2 linked regions of the Sus scrofa genome follow. Each later gene encodes a partner of the first gene's protein in a complex. Links are inferred from orthologs where the notes say so. Each region holds a gene or a part of one and is shown on either strand. Other genes may lie near its edges.

Region 1 (6,698 bases):
CAGCCCCACTCACAGTCTGACTGCAGCCACCTGAGACTCCCTACTGAGAACTGCTAAGGTCAGACAATCCATAGGACCACAAAACAATAAGAAGTTGCTGTTTTAGAATTGTGGTTGCCAAGAGGGAGGGGATGGGCTGGGAGTTTGGGGTTAGCAGATGCAAACTGTTTATGTATATGTATAACCGAATCACTTTGCTGTACACCAGAAACTAATACAGCATTGTAAATCAACTATATGTCAATAAAATCAATTAGAAAGAAGCTGCTGTTTTAAGTCATTAAGGTTTGGAATGGTTTGCAATGCAAGCAATAGAGCAGGACAGACTCATTGACGTGCTGTCTGGAGGAAACCACTATTCACATTTGGTTTTTCTGTATGCACATATTTTTAAACAGATAATTAAAAATATGTACAGAGTTTTTATGAAATTTTTTCAGAGCACACATTTCTTTGCTCTGGTTATTAAGAAAGTGGTACTAGAGACAAGAAAAAGTAGAGAATGAGAAATGGTTGGCTTGGGGATCCCGTTAGCAGACACATACAAAGTGTCCTATATTTGGGTGTTCCATGTATTTCTTAAAAATATGCTCCTGTAGGATAATGTGAGAAAAAGAGTGTATGTATATACATATGACTGGGTCACTTTTCTGTACAGTAGGAATTGACAGAATACGGTAAATCAGGAGTTCCCATCACGGCCCAGTGGAAACGAATCCGACTAGGAACCATGAGGTTGCGGGTTCGGTCCCTGACCTTGTTCAGTGGGTTAAGGATCCGGCATTGCCGTGAGCTGTGGTGTAGGTTGCAGACATGGCTTGGATCCCGAGTTGCTGTGACTCTGGCGTAGGCCGGTGGCTGCAGCTCCTAGCCTGGGAACTCCATATGCCGCAGGTGTGGCCCTCAAGAGACAAAAGACAAAAAACAAACAAACAAAAACCCCCAAAAACAAAAGAACAGAACAACACTGTAAATCAACTATAATGGAAAAATAAAAATAAGTAAAAGATTTAGACATTCAAAAAAAAAAAAAAAAGAAAATATTTTGAAAAAAAAAAAAAATGCTCCTGGGTCTTTGAAAAGTGATTTGGAAGTTACTAGGCACTATGGCCTGAAGTTATGCTTTAGGCCACAGGAGAAGTCCATGAAGGAAGCAGATAGTACAGAACATAAGGCTGTATCTGTGGTTGGGTATTTAGGCTGCTGTTACTTTTCACAGTTAAAAACCACACTGTGGTGAGCGAGCTTGTACAGACACCTTTGACCATTCTCCTCAGCTATGTCGTAGGATACATTCTTAGAAGTGAAAAATTTCTGGGCAAAAGGGTTTGAGGCTTTTTATTTTTATTTTTTTATTTTTAAATTTTTTATAATGATTTAAATTTTTTTCCATTATAGCTGGTTTACAGTATTCTGTCACTTTTCTACTGTACAGCATGGTGACCCAGTCACACATACACGTATACATTCTTTTTTCCTCACATTATCGGGCTCCATCCTAAGTGACCAGACATAGTTCCCTGTGCTACACAGCAGGATCTCATTGCTCATCCATTCCAAAGGCAGTAGTCTGCATCTATGAACCCCAAGTTCCCCATCCATCCCACTCCCTGTCCTGCCCCCTTGGCAACCACAAGTCTGTTCTCCAAGTCCATGATTTTCTTTTCTGTGGAAAGGTTCATTTGTGCCATATATTAAATTCCAGATATAAGTGATATCATATGGTATTTGTCTTTTTCTTTCTGACTTACCTCACTCAATATGAGAGTCTCTAGTTCCGTCCATGTTGCTGCAAATGGGATTATGTTGTTCTTTTTTATGGCTGAGTAGTATTCCATTGTGTATATATATCACATCTTAATTAAAATATAGCTGATTTTTACAATGTTGTGCCAATTTCTACTGTACAGCAAAATGACTCAGCCAGAGGCTTTTTTGTTTGTTTTAAACAAAATAATATTCAGAAGGCATATTCTCTGCATCTGAGTTGTCCTTATTTTATTTATTTATTTATTTATTTTTTAAGGGCTGCACCCTTAAGGGCATATGGAGGTTCCCAGGCTAGGGGTCAGATTGGATCCACAGCTGCCAGCCTACACCACAGCTCAGGGCAACGCTGGATCTGTAACCCACTGATGGAGGCCAAAGATGGAACCCACATCCTCATGGATACTTGTCAGCTTTGTTATACTGTAAGCCACAATGGGAACTCCCGGAGTTGTCCTTATCGATGGCCACACAGGAGGACAGCCCTGGCTGAGAGGGTCTTCTGTTTCCCTGGGCAGGAGGGAGGGATGTTTTGCAAAGTGGGCTTTTCAGGGAGACAGAGGGTAGGACCCCTCTCTCCTGCCTGGACTGTATTCATGTTTAGAACACGTGTTCCATGGAGTTCCCGTCGTGGCTCAGTGGTTAATGGTCCCAACTAGCATCCATGAGGACACACATTCCTTCCCTGGCCTCGCTCCATGGGTTGAGGGTCTGGCGTTGCCGAGAGCTGTGGTGTAGGTTGCAGACGCGGCTCGGATCCCACGTGGCTGTGGCTATGGCGCAGGCCGGCAGCTGTAGCTCCGATTAGACCCCTAGCTTGGGAACTTCCACCTGCTGTGGGTGTGGCCCTAAAAAGACAGAAAGACCAAAATAAAAATAAAAATAAAAATAAAAATAGAACACATGTTCTGGAGGCAGGTCCTAGGTCTAGTCCTTGCCTTTCCTGGGGTTTTGGCCGACTCTAGAAGCAGGTGGGCAAACAAAGACACCTTTGGGATGGCGACCTTGATGGTTGGGGTGGGGAAGCCAGGGAGGCAGGGAGGGAGGCCAGGCTGTGTGCAGCCCCGGGGGAGGACGGTCCAGCAGGGCTGTGGGCTCCCTGAGCCTCCGCCCTCTTCCTCTGAATATCTGACAGACTTTGTGCCTCCTACTTCTCTTTTTAGGGTCCTTCCTGCGTTTGGTGGCTTCCTTGAAGTGGCTCAGTGGGCGCCTGCAGCCTCACGGTTCCTGCTCCCTCCAGCCATGACTCACAGAATCCTTCTGCTGACAGGTGCGCCAGGAGAGGGGCGGGGATGGGGGGAGCTCAGGGTGAGGAGGAGGGAAATTTCTGAATTTGTGAATGGAGAGAAAGGGTCCAGAATATTTAGGAGCTGGACTGGGAAGAGACAAAAGGGATTGGGGGAAAGTTATGGGATGACCAGAGAAGCTTGGTTGAATGACAATTCATAGACTATACAAGGTGTCCCTTCACTCACAGATGAGAAAACTGAGGCCCCAAGTGGTGAAATGACATGTTTAAGGGGGCACAGCAGGTCTTGGAGTGTTGCTTCTTGGGTTCCGCCTCACCACCTCCTATTTGCCTCCTATTTTCTGAGCACCCACGTGTAAGTGTTTGTTGAATGACTGATTGACCAAAATGATTCAAGTTTGATTCCTTTTTTAATCTGTGTTTTGTGGCGTATGAGCCGAAGAAGGGAAAGAAATGCTTGAACGTTGCTTGCATAGGAAGGAACCTGTCTAACTGAGTCTTTAGGAACTTGATGGGCCCATTAGTGGGCTGGGAACCCAAGGTGAAGGTTGGAGGGGTTAAATGCACCTGTTGATGGAAATAATCAATAAGCAGTCTATAATAGGAATAGAAGGAGTTCCTGTTGTGGCTCAGTGGTAAAGAACCGGACTAATATTCACGAGGACGTGGGTTCAATCCTTGGCCTTGCTTAGTGGGTTAAATATCTGGCATTGCCATGAGTTGTCGTGTAGGTCGCAGATACCGCTCAGATCTGGCATTGCTGTGGCTGTGGTGTAGGCCAGAAGCTGTAGCTCTGATTGGACCCCTAGCCTGGGAATTTCCATATGCTACAGGTGTGGCCCTAAAAAGCAGAAAATACCCAAACAAACAAACAAACTATAATAGGAATAGAAAAGAAGTTTTTTTTTTTTTTTTTGAGCCAAACTGAGGACATAGCCTAAGAGGCAGCCCCTCAGAGACCTCTGAGGAACTGTTCCAGAGAAGCAAGATCTTCAGCAGTTTTGTTTTTGTTTGTTTTGTTTTGTTTTGTTTTGTTTTTTAGGGCCGCACCCACGGCACTTGGAAGTTCGCAGGCTAGGGGTCAGATCAGAGCTACAGCTGCTGGGGTACACCACAGCCACAGAAATGGCAGATCCGAGTCATATCTGCGACCTACACCACATCTCATGGCAACACTGGGTCCTTAACCCACTGAGCGAGGCCAAGGATTGAACCCACATCCTGATGGATTCTAGTCGGAGTCATTTCTGCTGCACCAGGAAGGGAACTCCCCTTCAGCACAGTTTTATATCATGTCAGAACAAAGAACATTAAACAAGTCAGGGAGACATTTCTTCAGGATTTCAAAAAAGAAAAAAGAAAACACGAAACAGATCCACAGGTACATAAGTGAGTCAGTATGGCCTTGGCCCTGGGGAAGGGAGTCTTTTTTTTTTTTTTTTTCTTTCTTTCTTTCTTTATTTTTTTGTCATTTTTGGCCACCCTGTGGCATATGGAGTTTCTGGGCCAGGGATCAGATCTGAGCCAGAGTTGTAACCTGTGCTGCAGCTGCGGCTACGCTGGATCCTTAAATTAAGCCTCTGTGCCGGGCCGGGGATTGAACCGTTGTCCCAGCGCTCCCAAGATGCCACCAATCCTGTTGCACCACAGTGGGAACTCCCAGGGAGTTTTATCATTGAAGGAATACCAGCATTTGAGTCCCAGGAAGGGAAGCATTTCATCTTTGTTTTTAACATGGGCACACTGTTCTCTTGGACAATGAACCTTTTTCTTTCATGATTAAAGCAAATGCACAATGTATGTTTGACAGGCTACAAACAGGCTGTTTTAGTGTAAAATTCAAGTTAAATCATGTATAAGCCAGAATGACTTCCCTATACCTCAGTACGGGAAATTTTTTTCCATTACATCCCACGCTGGTGGTGCTTAGGCCAGGAGTTGGCAAGCTGTAGACTGTGGGCATAAGGCCAGGACACAGTGGCATGTGTTTTTGTACAACTTGGAGCCATAGGTCCCAGGTGAACATTTAGAATCTATTCATGACAGGGACACTAATTTTATCCTGGTGGCGTGAAATGTTATCTATCCCAAAGAATTTCGTTGGTCTCATCAGTTAATTTATTTTACAATGGTACTTGAATGTTATATTTTGAGTTTCCTTAATGGAAAAATTTATGGGAAAATATTTCCTCTTTTTTATATTAAGTATCCATGCAAGAGATTCTCTTGGTTCACAAGGCCCGAAATATTTACTCTCTGGTCATTTATACAACACGTGTGGGAGTTCCCTCGGAGGTGAAGTGGGTTAAGGATCTGGTGTTGCCGTAGGCTAGGTTGGAGCTGTGGCTCGGATTTGATCCCTGGCCCCAGCACTCTCATATGGTGTGGCAAAATGAAAGAAAGAAAGGAAGACAGACAGACAGACAGACAGACAGACAGACAGACGTGTGGTGCCCTCTGCTACAGGCTGTAAGGGCTGGCCCTGGAGGCCCCCATCTCCGTGCTGGGTTAGGGTGAATCCTGGCAGGAAGATGCTCGGGGCAGGAGGGCTTTCTTAACTTGTCTCCGTATCTCTTCCTGACTCCCACCCCCTTGTTCTCCTTCCAGCCTTGGCCTTAAGTCATGGGTTCAACCTGGACACGGAAAATGCAGTCGTCTTCCAGGAAAATGCAAATGGCTTCGGGCAGAGCGTGGTCCAGCTGGAGGGGTCGAGGTAAGGGCCTCAGGGGGCACTTCCTGTCCCGCAGGCTTTCCGTACAAGACTTAACATGTCTGAAAACAAAAAACAAAACAAAACAATCTCCTTGATTTGTTTGTTGACTCAGCAGGCTTCTAAGCTCTAAAGATACAAAAGAGTGTAACCACTGTCATGGCGCAGTGGTTAATGAATCCGACTAGGAACCATGGGGTGGCAGGTTCGATCCCTGGCCTTGCTCAGTGGGTTAAGGATCCAGCGTTGCCCTGACCTGTGGTGTGGGCCGCAGATGCGGCTCGGATCCCGAGTTCCTGTGGCTGTGGTGTAGGTCGGCGGCTGCAGCTCCAATTTGACCCCCTAACCTGGGAACCTCCATATGCCGCAGGATTGGCCAAGAAGTGGCAAAAAAGACAAAAAAAAAAAGTGATGGAAAGTCTCCTCCTCACTCCTTTCCCCCAGTTCCCTCCCTGGCAGGGTCCCTGGTAGACAGTTTCTCGTGTGTTCTTTCAGGGAGATTCTTTTTTTTTTTTTTTGTCTTTTGTCTTTTTTTTTTTGTTGTTGTTGTTGTTGCTATTTCTTGGGCCGCTCCTGCGGCATATGGAGGTTCCCAGGCTAGGGGTTGAATTGGAGCCGTAGCCACCGGCCTATGCCAGAGCCACAGCAACGCAAGATCCCAGCCGCGTCTGCAATCTACACCACAGCTCACGGCAACGCCGGATCGTTAACCCACTGAGCAAGGGCAGGGACCGAACCCGCAACCTCATGGTTCCTAGTCGGATTCGTTAACCACTGCGCCACGACGGGAACTCCCCTCTTTCAGGGAGATTCTATGCTGCCGCATAGACCTCCACATTTCCCTAAGCCCCATCCTGCATTCAATTTGCATTGCATGCTACACTCAAACTATAGCCTGCTGCCTATTTTTGTAAATGCCTTTTGTTTTTTCATTACAAAAAATTTTTTTTTTTGGTCTTTTTGTATTTTTAG
Region 2 (5,929 bases), on another chromosome or scaffold:
CATATTGAAAAAGGAGGAAGGCGAAGCTCAGAGAGGATGAAGCACCTTTTCTATGTCACTCCCCTTGTCCTAAGGGGCTGTGCAGCTGGGAGTCTGTTTACAGCTGCGTCCACCACACTCGCCTTACGCTATTCCTCCTGTACGAGAAAGGAACGTTGAGACATGCGTCGAACTGGCTAACCTGACAACTCTTACTTCTCATAGACTAGTTTCTCATTTTTCAGGTTTAACTGACTTTGACCATCTTCTCTTTTTACAGAAATGTTTGCTTCTAAAAGGAGAGATCAGTGAATCACTTAGCACAGTCCTTGATACATAATAAGAATTAAAATGAATAACAGTTCTAGCTCCACAGTTTTCTTTCTCCCTTCTCTTGGTCATTGGTTGATTGAACCATTCAGCTAACACCTATCAAGTTCCTACTCTTACTGAACACTGAAGACAAAGGTAAAATGCCCAGACCATGCAATTAAGGAGATCAGGAATGGACTTAGTTATATCTAGGAGTTAAAGATTTTTCTGGATGTTGATTATTTTTCTTTCCTCCCTTCCAGAAAAAAAGGTGAAGAAGTCTGACTGTGGAGAATGGCAGTGGAGTGTGTGTGTGCCCACCAGTGGGGACTGTGGGCTGGGCACCCGGGAGGGCACCCGGACTGGAGCTGAGTGTAAACAAACCATGAAGACCCAGAGATGTAAGATCCCGTGCAACTGGAAAAAGCAGTTTGGAGGTAAGTCCCACCCCTGCAGTCCTGTTGATGTCATCTTCTACCCTGAGATAATTCTTGCATTCTTCTACCAAATACCTTTTTGAGGTCGATTCTATTTATTTTAACACATTTATTTTCTCAGATGCAGCCTAACCGGGCACTTTGCCTACCCCCAGGTACCTCATTTTCAGTACTACTAGCATGGGAGGGCTCAGATAATTTTTTTGTCCTGGATGGAGGGTTATTCTGTGCACTGTAGGGTATTTAGCTGACTCTCTGGCTTTTACCCATGAGTTTCTGGGAGCATGCCCTCCACCTTACCAACTGCAGCAACTGAAAATATCTCCAGTGTAATCCAGTTATAATGGAAAAAAATAAAAATCATTACACACACACACACACACACACACATATAAAGAAAATTCCTCCAGATAGTGCTGCACATTTCCTGGGGTGAGTGGGGGGTGCAATAGTCCCTGACTGAGGCCACAGGCTTTACCAATAGGGATAGAAATGAACCCTTGATCCCTCTTAACAGTGTTCTCTTTCCTTCTTCTATTTCTAGATTCCTTCTGTCTCCCCTTCCTTTTTTCTTATTTATTCTCCTTCTCCCGATCTCTTTCTGTCACTTGCAGGCCCTCTCTCTCTTTTGCTCTCTCTCCACTTTCCACATGGGTTTGTAGATTCACTTTCCAAACCCAGCAGGGTTGCTGTGAGCCCCTTTTCATAGATTTTTCTCTCACCAAATACTGCCAGTTTCATGCTGACTTCATCTACCTACTTGAGAAGAATCTTTCAACTCCTTCAACTTTAAACCCACCACTGAACACCCAGTTCCTTGATTTTTTCACATGCCTAGTGGGACACGATGCCCCAGATATTCTCCCTGGTCTACAGGAAGGTGCTTTGACCTAGTGACCAATGGAGAAGAATAATGAATAGACACACTATATCTTTTTCATTCTTTATAACTTTGGGGGTTATAACTTTTTATGAGTAGAGGTAAATTCTGTAAAAGGATGGTAAAATTCAGATACATTTAATCTTGAATTGTATATGGATACCCTAAGAATGATATGCAAAATGTCTTAAAAACTGTGTCTTCAAGGTCTTGTGTCTAGAATATATAAGAACTCTCAAAACCAACAATCCAGTTAGAAAGTGGGCAAAAGATAGGAACAAACATTTTACTGAAGGGGATAAATACATGGCAAATAAACATTTGAAAAAGTGTTCAATATCTTTTTCCTATTAGAGAAATTAAAATGAACACCAATGAGCTATCATTCTGTATTACCTATTAGAATGGCTAACATTAGAAATCACATCAGATGCTAGTGAGGATGCAGAGAAACTAGATCATGCATGCATTGGTGATGGGAAGGTACATACAGAAGCCACATTGGAAGAGAGAATGGTAGTTTTTCACAAAACGCAACTTGTATTTACCATACAATGCAGTGGTCTCACTCTAGAGAAATGGAAACTTATGTTCCTATAAAAATCTATACAGCAATGTATATTGCAGCTTTACTTGTCATAGCCAAAATCTGGAAAGAACCCAGATGTCCTTCCACTAGTGAATGGCTAATCAGCTGGGGTACATCTGTACCACAGAGTACTACTGAGCAATAAAAGGAATAGGCTACTGATACACACAACTTGGATGGACGTCCAGGAGATTTTACTGAGGGCAAAGAGCCAGTCTCAAAAGCTTACAAACTATATGATTCCATTTAAGTAACACTCCTTAAATAACAAAATTATAGACATGGAGAACAGATAATTGCCAAGGGCAGAGGAGGTGGGAAAGGAAGAAGGTAGCTAAGCTATGATGTAAGAGGATAACCCACGGGGCCCTTGGGTTAGAACTTGTGTGAATATTAATGGTTGGGTGTTCATATTTATCTGCACACAGAACTAAATGTTCGCACACATATACACACTGAGTGTATGTGAAACTGGGGAGACCTAAGGAACTTCTATGGGATGTGTCCACTCAATTTTCTGGTTGTGCCTTTCGACTGTAGTCACACAGGTTATAACCACTGAGGGAATCTGGGTGCAGGGTATATGGGGATGCTCAGTATCCTTTCTTACAACTGCATGTGAACCTACACTTACCTCACTATAAAAAGTTGAAAACAGAAGTGTGTCTAATTTTTGGCACTCCAAGAGGAATTCAGAGATTTCTGTTTGGTCCTGCCTTCCTGCCTCTAGCGGAGTGCAAATACCAGTTCCAGGCCTGGGGCGAATGTGACCTGAACACGGCCTTGAAGACCAGAACCGGAAGCCTGAAGCGAGCTCTCCACAACGCCGACTGCCAGAAGACAGTCACCATCTCCAAGCCCTGTGGCAAAGTGACTAAGCCCAAACCTCAAGGTAGGCTCTGCCTTTGCACCATGACACTACATGTTTAATGTGGCTGGATTGATGGACTCAGGCAAGACCTTCAGATGTGCAAACTCAAATTTTCCAGAAGGAAATCTTGGGTGAATTTCTTTAAGGAAAGGGATTGAAAAAAAAAATACACTGAGCATTACACAAGTACTTTACAGCAGGCAATTGATGAGTTCAACTTGAAGTGCTCTGCCCAGACTGGGGAACTAGAGCAGTCTTCTAGCACAAATAAACAACTTAGCAAAATAGGCCAATTAAGACAGCTGTATGTTGACAATATATCCAAGTCCTAAATCAGGACTACATCCTGACAAATACGAACAAACTTAGGCAGTTCACAAGGCTGAAAATTCAAAATCGAGTCTTTCTTAGATTATCAACATCTACAGTTTTCAGGAAATCAGTTATTTTATCTCTTTCCTTGTCTACCACATCACTTGATAGGGTCTGTATGTCTATTCCTCCTTTCAAAGTCTTCATATTTGTTTAGTTAGATTAACGTACCAAGTTCATTTGTCTTGGAATTTCAAAATTATGTAGAGCTATCTTTCTATTCATACCCAGAAAATTAGACTCTGCTCTCATGCTGGAGAAAATAAACTACACCAAACGTCATGGCTGTGTTTTCACACAAACAAAATCCCAGCTGAGGGAAGACAAGGAGGTATTACACTCTTAGGTCATGGTTGTGTGAGCCGAGTTACATCCTCCAAATTCAGATGTTCATGCCCTAACTTTCAGTACCACAGAGACTGTACCTGGAGAGAGGGCCTTGAAAGAGGTACCTGGAATTAAATGAAGTCATGTGTGTGGACCCTGATCCCCTATGACTGGCATATAGGACTAGGAGATTAGGACACATAAACACTGAAGGAAGTCTGAAAGCATCCCCTTTACATTTTAGAATGGAGTGTGAAGATGTTGGTAAGGCTGTGACGACTCAGCACTAAATTGAGGAAAGGTGGGAGGACATCCCCCTTGTGGGAAAATTATTGTGATTAGATTATTAATGAGGCTAAAAGATTAACAGACTTGCATAGGGAAAGTGCTTAATATCTAGAATTGCAATCTAAATTTGGGGAAATTAAGTTTTCCAGTTGCTTTGATTAAAAAATTGTCTTTAAATTTATTACACTTCAGTTTAACAGCATTATCTTTTGAGGTAAAGAAAGGGTCCTTCCTATTGCTATGTCAATATTGTACAAACTCTGTACTCTAGCCCTTGTTCACAATTTCAGCGATGCCCGGTACCAGATTGGAGATCCTATCCAAAGTCTCTCTTTTGTTGGAATCCCACTTAATCTGAAGAGAGCTGTTTGTCATCCACTTCTAAATTATATGCTCAGAAGAAGGGAGACTATTGATATTCTTAGGTAGATACAAGAATTGAAAGACGCACAATTGGAATGTAGTTTTCTTTGGGATGGGGATAGATTGCTCTGGGGAAGGTCACTGATTGACTGAAAGATTGTAACTAGAGTTTGCTTAATCATTGCCAGAATGTGGCAGAGATAAATTAGTGAGCAATCATGTTGGGCGCTTGAGATTTTAATTTCTTAGGAAAAGAGATTGAGAGCATTAATTAAAATTCTTAATTAAGAAAATCCTGTATCTGTCAGAGTTTTTTAGCTGCAGCAAGATCTATTCTAGCTAGTGAGGCAGAAAGGGGTTGATTGAAGAATATCATATAGCTTACAGAATCTCCAGAGGGGCCAGAGTATTTGACGTGGATCCAGCAATACTGCAAGAAGGCAACAGATCCAAGAGATGTGTCTAATCACACCATATGTGACTGATATGGCAGAGATACTCTTGCTGAAATTACTCACTGCTCAGCACACTATAAGGCTAAGAACTGGACACTGGAAACTTCATCTCTGTACCCAGACACTCCTACCTCCTTTCTTGCCAAAATAGCCAGTCTCCCCAAATTTGACCTTATTTTCTGCTTGTTCACTTCTACCTCTAAGACTCATTTAAGGGTGCCTGCAGAGTGGAAACTAGGTCACATATAAAATCCTGCCACAAGGGAGTCTGGGAAATGTCTTTAACCTTCTGAATTCTACCTCTAAATATGAGAAGAGAAGCTGAAAGGGATTTGTTTTGGTATTTAGTAAGTGATCTGCCAGGAGCTGGGGAGTATGCAGGAATGTCACGATGTGTTGGACTGCATCTTTACTCCTAGTCCTCTCTCCTTCTGGGCTAGAAGAGGCATTGATGCCATTTCTAGGATAAGAAGTTGCTGAGAGCAATCATATTGGGCCAGTGGAGTATCCCACTGAAGGGTGAGTTAGGTCTCATTAGAGCCACTTTTCATTTTTTGTTGAGTCATTACAGCCTTTACATTAAAAAACAATGCCCAGGGATAACTGCACTGTGAACAATGGGAGAGAAAGTAGGGATCATGGCCAGTCTGGGCAGACAGTGCTATATCAAAAAAGGTCGGAGCAAAGAACCCTATAGAGGGCATAATATAACTCTTCTCCAAGCCACTGCAAGTGTTGCTTAGTGGTCCCCTTGGAGGATGGACTCCCTGTAGAATTAGAAGATGGCTAAGCTGGGTGGGGCCGGCAAGATGGGCTCGTGTGTGGGGGAGCTGTGACCCCATAGGCAGACTGGTCTGTGGGAGCAGGTGCAGCCCAGCAGTAACCATCACCAGAATGCAGAGTCAAAGATGAGGCTGAGGTGGGGGTTTGTGTGAAAGGTTCCTAGAAGAGCTAAGATTTGCCCAGGTGCCACAAATGATATAGCCTAATGATCGTCTTGGACCATTCAAGAATCTTGAGTGATCGTTGATGCGGAAGTTATGAGTTACTTTATAA

The links.
Region 2: the proteins of ITGAM (region 1) and PTN are in contact, whole or in part, in an NMR structure (PDB 8VOH), measured with the Homo sapiens proteins. The link is inferred for Sus scrofa from reciprocal best matches to the Homo sapiens genes ITGAM and PTN. Residues at the interface, in NP_000623.2 of Homo sapiens: Pro273, Asp276, Arg277, Gly279, Val280, Ile281, Arg282, Tyr283, Lys306, Pro307, Arg309, Asp310, His311, Ala334, Ile335, Glu336, Gly337, Thr338, Gln339; in NP_001308315.1 of Homo sapiens: Val56, Pro57, Thr58, Ser59, Asp61, Cys62, Gly63, Leu64, Thr66, Glu68, Thr79, Lys81, Thr82, Gln83, Arg84.

What each region holds. Positions count from the first base shown.
Region 1 is NC_010445.4:17,253,453-17,260,150, reverse strand, and holds the start of ITGAM (integrin alpha-M), read left to right. Parts: upstream 1-2,620; 5' UTR 2,621-2,670; coding exon 2,671-3,037; intron 3,038-3,893; exon of another isoform or gene 3,894-5,623; coding exon 5,624-5,729; exon of another isoform or gene 5,730-5,788; intron 5,789-6,698.
Region 2 is NC_010460.4:12,288,317-12,294,245, forward strand, and holds part of PTN (pleiotrophin precursor), read left to right. Parts: intron 1-554; coding exon 555-728; intron 729-2,927; coding exon 2,928-3,089; intron 3,090-5,929.